Linked DNA regions of Oryzias latipes. The protein of the gene in region 1 interacts with the protein of each later gene in a biochemical or structural test. Links are inferred from orthologs where the notes say so. Each region holds a gene or a part of one and is shown on either strand. Other genes may lie near its edges.

Region 1 (3,811 bases):
TGTGGATGTGTATAGTCAAACCCTTAAACATATTGGGTAACACGTCTTTATAGAACATATTAAAGGGCCAATGTTCTTCCCTTGCAGGCATTACTTAAAGAAACATTGTCTGCTGGGAGTTTTGTGACACCTAAAACTGTCTTCAGCCTGCTTACTGTTGGTGCGTCGTCCCTTGTAGATTTTGGATTTGGAAACTTCTTTAAACAAGGAGAGCCTTTGGCTACATGGTGTGGCAGCCCGCCATACGCTGCTCCAGAGGTCTTTGAAGGACAACAGTATGAGGGCCCACAGCTGGACATCTGGGTAAGAGAATTTCTTTTAACCAAAACGACAGCTCCTTCACATTCTTGTGCTTAAATTCCCTTCTTTTAATGGGAGTGATCTACTGTTGGATCCATTTAAAAAAGCTATGTGAAGTCAATTAATGTAATTTAACATTTTATTGGCAAGATGAAGATGGAGCATCGGTCTTATGTGTGTCTTTACTGACGTGATCCTGAAAGAAAATAAAAACCTTGATGGTTTACAGGTTTTATGTTGAAAATAAAATAAAAAATGATTACCGGGTTATAATGATTAAGAGCTAAACAACCACGTGATACAAAGGTTAAGGCCAAAGACAAAAGCATCATGGGAAAAAAATCTCAATCTTTTTTAGAAGAGGCTCAGTAACATTAATATAATTAAGAGCAACCGGTGAATCTTTCATTCAGAAGGGTGTGCGTGGATGTGTGAAAAAATAATTGTCATCTCTGATTGGTCTATTGATTGCTGCTCCCTGTATGCATCTGTTTCCAGAGTATGGGGGTGGTGCTTTATGTGCTGGTGTGCGGGGCGTTGCCCTTTGACGGGCCCAGTCTGCCTGTCCTCCGACAGAGAGTCCTAGAAGGAAGGTTCCGCATCCCATACTTCATGACTGAAGGTGAGCGGACACAAGTTTAACTCGTCCAGAACTTTATTACAATCAAGGCAAAGTTTGTCTGGGTTTAGGCATCACATGTATTACCTGGAAGCCATACTCCTCTGCCTTCTTTTGTTTAAAGTGTAGCTAATCTGAGGGGAGGATTTGTGGTGAACTATGAGGAAAGTCCTGCAGAAGGGATGATGCTAAGAAATGGGTTATTGCGGAAAAGTCCAGTAATCGTTGGTTTGAGGTGAAAGATAGAGGTCAGGTTCCATGTCATTTGAAAAACAGTCTTTGATCAAATGGCAAGCATCGCCAGAAGTGCAGGTTTTTGCCAATTGAAATGTAACTTCTCAGTTTAACTACCTGACTTTCACATCACATTTTTACACATCACATTTTTTTTCCTTCTCTGAGGTTGTGTTGCAATGTCATTTCACAAAATGGGTGTTACTTAAATTCTACTTTTCAATATAGATTGATGTTGATGCATTAAAATGTCTAGTTTAGCTTTCAATTTTGATTTACTGTAGATTGGTAAAACTGACCTTTGTATTACTCATACAAATTACCTGCTGGCGTCTTAAGCTCTTTTCTAACTAACTAGTACAGGTAAGTCCAATATCAAATATTTTGTAAAACTTCCCTAAAAGTATCAATCTTTATAGTATGGCACCCTGGATTTACAGTCACATCTGTCAGTTTTTTTCTAAAAACACTGAAAGTTTTTGTGAATCATTGAGTTTTTTCATGTTAAATTATTTAAAAAAAAAAGGGCATGAGTCATCGTACATGTTTTTGACTTTGAGTCACTGTACTGTTGAATGTTTACTGGCACCGTCTATCATGGCTAAAGTAGTGAGCAGGTCGTTTGATCACACAGAACAGTATGCTTTAGGATGGTACAGCATTGGGCACTCTGTCAAAATAGCTGCGTTTACATGGACAAAAGTAATAGGAAAAAACGCCTGATCGTAACAAAAATTCGTCATGTAAACACGCCGCTCGGAATACTCTGCCCCGATCTGACTCATTCGGATCAAAATTTCTTTGCGATCGAGATAGGTGGGTTATGCTGATTGTTGATCCGATCGTTTTGCATGTAAACGGTTCATTCTGATCGTGCGTCGCTACTGCTCTGGTTTAACATCACGCATTGAAGAAGTTTCACTCCAGAGAAGGCTTTGGAGCACAAACAGGACCAACCGGCTGCTCTGCAGACGCCTTGTGTTAAGCACTCTTCACCCCTCACGAAGTGGGGTGCCGGGGAGGAGCGCTTCGTGCCCCCTGACGTCTGGACCCTGCGCGGTCCAGGCTCGGGTGCCGGTGGACCGAGCGAACCGTGTCTCTGCAGAACAGAACAGACGGACTTATAACTTTGTGTTTGAGGGGAGGGGAGGATGCTTTGTTACGTTTGTGCTATGTGTGGGAGGCTTCGGGCTGCGATCCGTCCCGCTGCTCTAGGTGAACGAGCTGCTGGACTCAGGAGAACAGTGTCTCCCGGTAGAAATGTGTCTCTGAGCAGAGCTCGGACTTCCAGCTCACACAGCGGCTTTGGGGCAGTGAGCTTTTCAAAGCAGAAATGTCGGTCAGTCCTTAGAAACCGTTCAAACAATCACGTGGATTTGTGTTTCCAGTCATGTCCTGACTAAATAAAGGCTGATGTTATTCCCACATATTTTCGTGCAGCCTAGATGCAGATTGTGGCATTTCCCGCATGGATTTTGTGTTCATCAAAGAAGGCTAATGTTGTTAGCGTGTTAGCTTTCTCTTAACCCTTCTTCCAGCTCCGTTCCACAATAAACAAAGCACTGACCAAACCGATTCAAAATAAAAGGATGAGCGGACATGCTCTTCATAATAACTATAACAATAATAAATGCACGTTTAGAAGATCATCTTGTATATTACTGAACTGCCAGATATCTATGTTTGTGGCAGCTCAGCTTGTTTACAGCGAGACTCATTTCCTCTTCCGGCGCACGTGCAAATTATTTATTCCAGACGAAAGTGTGGCCCATGTAGACGTTTTGTTTTAATCGGAAAAAGTTTTTCTGGGCCCATTTACACGGTTGAATTATAATCCGATCTTTGATCCGATCAAGATATTTTGCACATGTAACCGCGGCTACTGACTGCTAACATTTGCAGGGGTCATGTGTTACATGCAGGAGTGAGTCAGGTCATATGACTGTCTCAAAGCAGCCCCGCTGTTAGCAATTGTGCTAGCTTGCAGGCTGGAGATTAAATCCAGAGCACGAGCTGTTTATGTAATCTGGGGGACAAGGCAGCAAAGCCCTCCTGCAGGCTCTTCCAGGAGACCCTCTGTATGTCTCGTTGACTCCCACTGTCTATGAAATGTCTTCCTGTTTGTCTATTTGCTCCTCATGATCGAAGTCTCCGTAAGGGGGAGTGCTGGAATTCATGTCATTTCTTCTTCTTTTGTTCCGAGCCTTGAAACAATTAGGAGACGGGGAATGTGAGAGTGTAATGTCAGTTCTTGGCCTAGACTGACAATCCAACCCGCCTTTCCACCCTCACTCCTGCCCCTGTTCCCCCCCCCAAATGTGAAGAACAGAGTGTTCTCATTTCTTCTACTAGAAACAGACCTCATTTCCTCCCATTGCTCTCTCTGGTCAACTCTGTGGTGCAGGGAACAGACTAGCACCTCACTCTAAACTCTCACTAGAACATTTTAGTCCAGTGAATGCTGTGGTCAGGCACTGATCAATGACCTTTTCAGTTTTTTGCATACCTTTGCATGTCTCTTCTTTATTCAAAGCTTCATAGGGACTCAGGTTGTCTATGCATTCAGTCATGTTTTAATGGTTGCATTTGAAAACTTTATTTTTAAGCTTTGGTGTGATTTATATACACTGAGATGCATATATGCAATCATAAAAAGTA
Region 2 (4,488 bases), on another chromosome or scaffold:
GATCATGAATCTGGATTGAACAGATCCAGAACCCGACCCGCAGTTCTTGTAAATTCAGACTGATCGTCATGACAACAGCAGGCCTCACTTCAGTGATGTCATTTCCTGCCAGGAGGCCAACGACCACATCGCTGACAACACACCATCAAAGTGAGAAAAACGTCTTTCCTGCTTGAAGCTGGTAGGAAACCAAACTGGAGCCAGTTCATCGAGTAGCCACTAGGGGGCTTGTTAGGCAGTGCAGTCCGACACTAGCATGTCAGTAGATTATTACGCTTTAGTCACTGAAGCCTTTTCCTTCTATTGGAGAGGACCAGTACTGACACCCAACCCTGGGATTTGAACCCACATCGAGCAAATGACAAGAGCTGGAGCTCCGGCTTCACTGGGCCCCTCCAGCATCAGATGCCTGACTCCCCGCTTTAGGCTCTTCCTCAACAAACAGATGACCTCTGACCTTGGAGCAGCCATGGACCCTATCACAGTGGAATGAAGCCACGCCCCCTTCCTGATGGAGCTGGGCTCATTTGAACCTGGACTGTCTCAGGAGCGAGGCAGACGTGCGTTCGGTGAGCCCAAACACTCCAGGTGAGCCCGAACACTCCAGGTGAGCCCGAACACTCCAGGTGAGCCCGAACACTCCAGGTGAGCCCGAACACTCCAGGTGAGCCCGAACACTCCAGGTGAGCCCGAACACTCCAGGTGAGCCCGAACACTCCAGGTGAGCCCGAACACTCCAGGTGAGCCCGAACACTCCAGGTGAGCCCGAACACTCCAGGTGAGAGAGGAGGAGGAAGGCCGACTGGTCTTTAGCTCAGGAAAGAGCTAAACGCTGAGGGGCTGCGCCTAACGCTGACGCTGTAACAACCACATTTCCCAAGCTGGGATCAATAAAGGAACTTTATCTTATAAACTAAAGTAAACAGAACACATGGGTCGACCCGTGGTCCTGCTCAGACACAGCACCGCTGGGGCACCTCAGGTGATGCAGCAGCTTGACCTCTGTGGGGTTTGAGGCCTTCAGGTGAACGTCAACAACCGGCTCAGGACCACAGAGAGGATCCTCCTGATCTTGATGTCAGGAGACTCTGAAGCTGCAGAACCACGTCTGAGTCCAGACCTGGTGAACTCCTGCTGGAGGACCCCCACCTGGTTCAGTCTGCTCCCAGATCGGTTCTGCTGGATCCAGACGCTCTTCAGCCATCAGAATCATTTAGAGGAGCTGTGACTGTAGCTCAGCCTGAGCCGTCGGAGACGTCCAGCTTCCCACCGGCACCGACACCCGCCGTTCACACCGGCGGAGCTGTGAAAGCTGCCGCCTTCCTCGGCCCTGCAACGTCGGCCAACCGGTTCGGATCAGCCCGACCTCCGTCCGCGCTGAGCTTCGGAACCAGCCGGGACGGAGAGGGACTTGGCACCCACAGAGAGGCAGGGTGGTACCGGGGGTCCGGCGGCGCGTCCCCGGCTGACGGCGGCGTCACGTATCACAGTAAACAAGCCGAGCTAGCATAGCGGCTAACGCGGCTAGCGCTATCGGAAGCGACGAGTTGCGGCTCCGCGCGCTCCGCCGACGCTCCAACTGCGACACAGCGCTCGCGCTTCCCGCCGAGGACTTCAACTTGACAGGTTCCCAGACAGCGGGCACGGAGCCGCGCGCGGTCAAACGTAGCTGTGCGTGGGAGTCTGCGAGCCTCCGGGAGGCCTCTATTCCTCCGCGACTCTCCTCCTCCTGCCTCCGTCTCCGACTCACCCTGGTCGAAGTGATGTCCATCATGACCTCCTGGAAGGCGGCTGTTTCCTCCGCCTGCCGTTGGGTGTGAAGCGCTATCTTCTCGCTAAATTTTCGGGGGTTTGAGGCACCGGACCCAGTTCCCGAGGCGGGTCCGGGTCCCGGTCCACAGCCGCCTGTACCCGTCGCAGACATCTTCCCCGAGCGGACGGGACGACTTGACGTAGTGGAATGATTTTCACCAAAGAGGGGCTGCTAACGAAGAGGGCTCACTCCGTGGCCATTTTCAAAGAACTGACCGAGCGGACTCCCTCTCAACCTCAAAACCCAGAACCATGTCAGCATTTCCCGGGTTATCGATTAGATTTCCAGATTTACTTTTGACGGATTGACAAATCCAGTCTTCAAAAGGAAGCTGGCCTCTTATCACCAGGGACTGGAGAAATCCACAGAAATAATGCAGACTCAACGTATGTTTGGTTATACAGACTGCAAATAATGCCATCAAATGTTTGTTTCTATATTCCTATCAGACAAAAAGCAGTGAACTTTATCAAGGTAGGCACTTGTGCGCATGTGTGAGGAAGTCGAATCTAAATGAACTTTTCCCCCCGATGAACTGGATCAGGTGAGTCCGGTTTCTGACTAACGAAACACACCTGATCGAAATAAGAAACAGCAAGTAGGAGAAGGTTCCGTGAATAATGAGGACAGCAGCTTTCGATGAGCCTAGATGTCCAGCATATGAAACGTGAACACCCCGACTAATCCAGCGTAGTGAGTCATCATCCTACAGACGAGCTTTGTCCGATTGACACAGGCGAGGGAGCTCCCCCTGCTGGCGAGCGGCCGTCAGCGCAGCGGTGTCCTCCTTCCGGCAGTTCCGGGCCTCATTCATAAAAGTCTGTACGCACAGAAAGTCGCGTGGAAATGTGCGCTAAAGATGCGCTCTTTGGCCAACACTGGACTCGAACAACTGAAACCTGAATCTGGTTTTTGCTCCCAGTCTCCCTCTGAGATGAGGAGACGAGCATCAACATGTGACACGTTGCTCCACATAAGAGGCAGTTTCCATGGAGATGAACATGCAACATTTGAGCATCTTCTCCACTTTACTGGATTGGACAAAGATTTGAGTCTTTTTTATGAGATGGGGGGCGGAGTCTCAGGCCAGCAGAACTGTGATCTGAAATCATCCCTGCTGCTAAATGACAAAGGAACATTCACACGTCTTTATTTATTCACTCCTTCAGATTAAATGATCTGAGGATTGTTTCTGGGGGGCAGACATCTGTATTTATGTGATGGAAAACCTTTCGAATGTTATCAGAAGATAAGCTCATCTGTTCCCCCACAGATTTCACCTCTTTCCTGTGTGTTTGGAGCAGATGCTGGGTCTCTGAGGACTACCACAATAATACCACATTTCAGATGGTCTTTGAGCTTACTATGTTGCTTTTTTCAAACCATAGAAGTTTGGTTTGATCTTTAAATAATCTTCTTCTGCAGTTTACCAGCTAAAACATAGTTGACTTTACATTTTTCCATTTCACTCAGCATGTACGAAATATCTTCAAAGGAAAACCTGAGGTGTTTTCTTCAAGTTGGATCCTTTTGCTCTAAACTTTCTTGTTGAGGTTTTTTCTGACACAAATGACGGTGATGACATTTCATCCCAAATTCTAATTTAAAGACAGAGAAACATGAGTATTTACAGAGATGAGCTGCACAGCAGGATGAAGCCTGGAGCTCCTCTTACGACCCTCTGCTGCCCTCTGGTGGCGGATCAGGGACCTGCAGGACCACAGCGCCACAGGGAAAACAGCTTCTTCACCTGTGAGCTGAAGTTCTGCTGCTTTCCACCATGAAAGGACGGTGATCGTGGAAGCAGCAGATGCTGCATCACCTGACTCACTAGTCTTCAGGTAAGCAGAACCTCCCTCAGAGTCAGAACCCCCCAAGTGGATCAGAACTGCTGCAGAAGGAGAGTCAGTAACCTGCTGATCTTCTCCTGCACTCCTGACCTGCTTCTGTCCAGGAACACAATTCTGCAGAACTTTGGCCTGTTTGAGGAGGTCAGTCACTTTTCCTGCCTCCTCCTGGATCTCCTTCCATCTTCACCTCCTGTCATCTCATTGGCTGTCACTTTCTCCCAGCAGCCAATAGGTGGTCATCTTTCCTTTGCCCTTGATGTCGATGTCTCCTCTGAGTTCCAGCTGAAAGGAGTTGAACTCTATCAAGACGTCCCGGGTGGCAGCAGACACGTGGATCTTCAGTGCTGCACAAACACACACACGCACGGATTAACAGCAAGTCAGGGTTCCATGTTTTACATCAGCTGATTTCATGTTTTTTGTGTATCTGCTGAAGCTTCACTGAGCTTGGGTTCACCGGGTTCCCCCCGGGTTCCTCCCCGGTTCTAAGGGTTTCTCAGCTGTGTGAAGTGACGGCTCCTCAGGTGTGATCAGAGGTTCTGCACTCACCTTCTCCGCTGGACTCCATGCGGGAGGACGTGTTGACCGTGTCGCCGAACAGACAGTACCGTGGCATCTTCAGACCCACCACCCCCGCACACACGGGACCTGCAGAGGAGGAACCTGAAACTGAGTGTTCCATCAAAGACCAGCAGGAACCTGAGGCTCGAGGGCCATTCTGTCCTAAACGTCTGGTAGTTAGGACGTTCCCTCTCAAGGTTCTAGATCTACAGCAGGGTACGTGTGCAGCGGGGGGTCAGGGGGGCGTGTGGTCCGTTCAAGAAC

What was found.
Region 2: of the proteins of sik2 (region 1) and CREB-regulated transcription coactivator 2, one has a biochemical effect on the other in vitro, tested with the Homo sapiens proteins (2 studies listed by BioGRID). The link is inferred for Oryzias latipes from reciprocal best matches to the Homo sapiens genes SIK2 and CRTC2.

The regions. Positions count from the first base shown.
Region 1 is NC_019871.2:15,495,063-15,498,873, reverse strand, and holds part of sik2 (serine/threonine-protein kinase SIK2), read left to right. Parts: intron 1-178; coding exon 179-303; intron 304-798; coding exon 799-922; intron 923-3,811. UniProt on the Homo sapiens protein: Serine/threonine-protein kinase that plays a role in many biological processes such as fatty acid oxidation, autophagy, immune response or glucose metabolism.
Region 2 is NC_019874.2:32,400,704-32,405,191, reverse strand, and holds the start of CREB-regulated transcription coactivator 2, read right to left. Parts: upstream 2,832-4,488; 5' UTR 1,925-2,831; coding exon 1,751-1,924; intron 1-1,750. Other genes in the region: olgc2 (membrane guanylyl cyclase), read right to left, coding at 3,862-4,007, 4,213-4,311. UniProt on the Homo sapiens protein: Transcriptional coactivator for CREB1 which activates transcription through both consensus and variant cAMP response element (CRE) sites.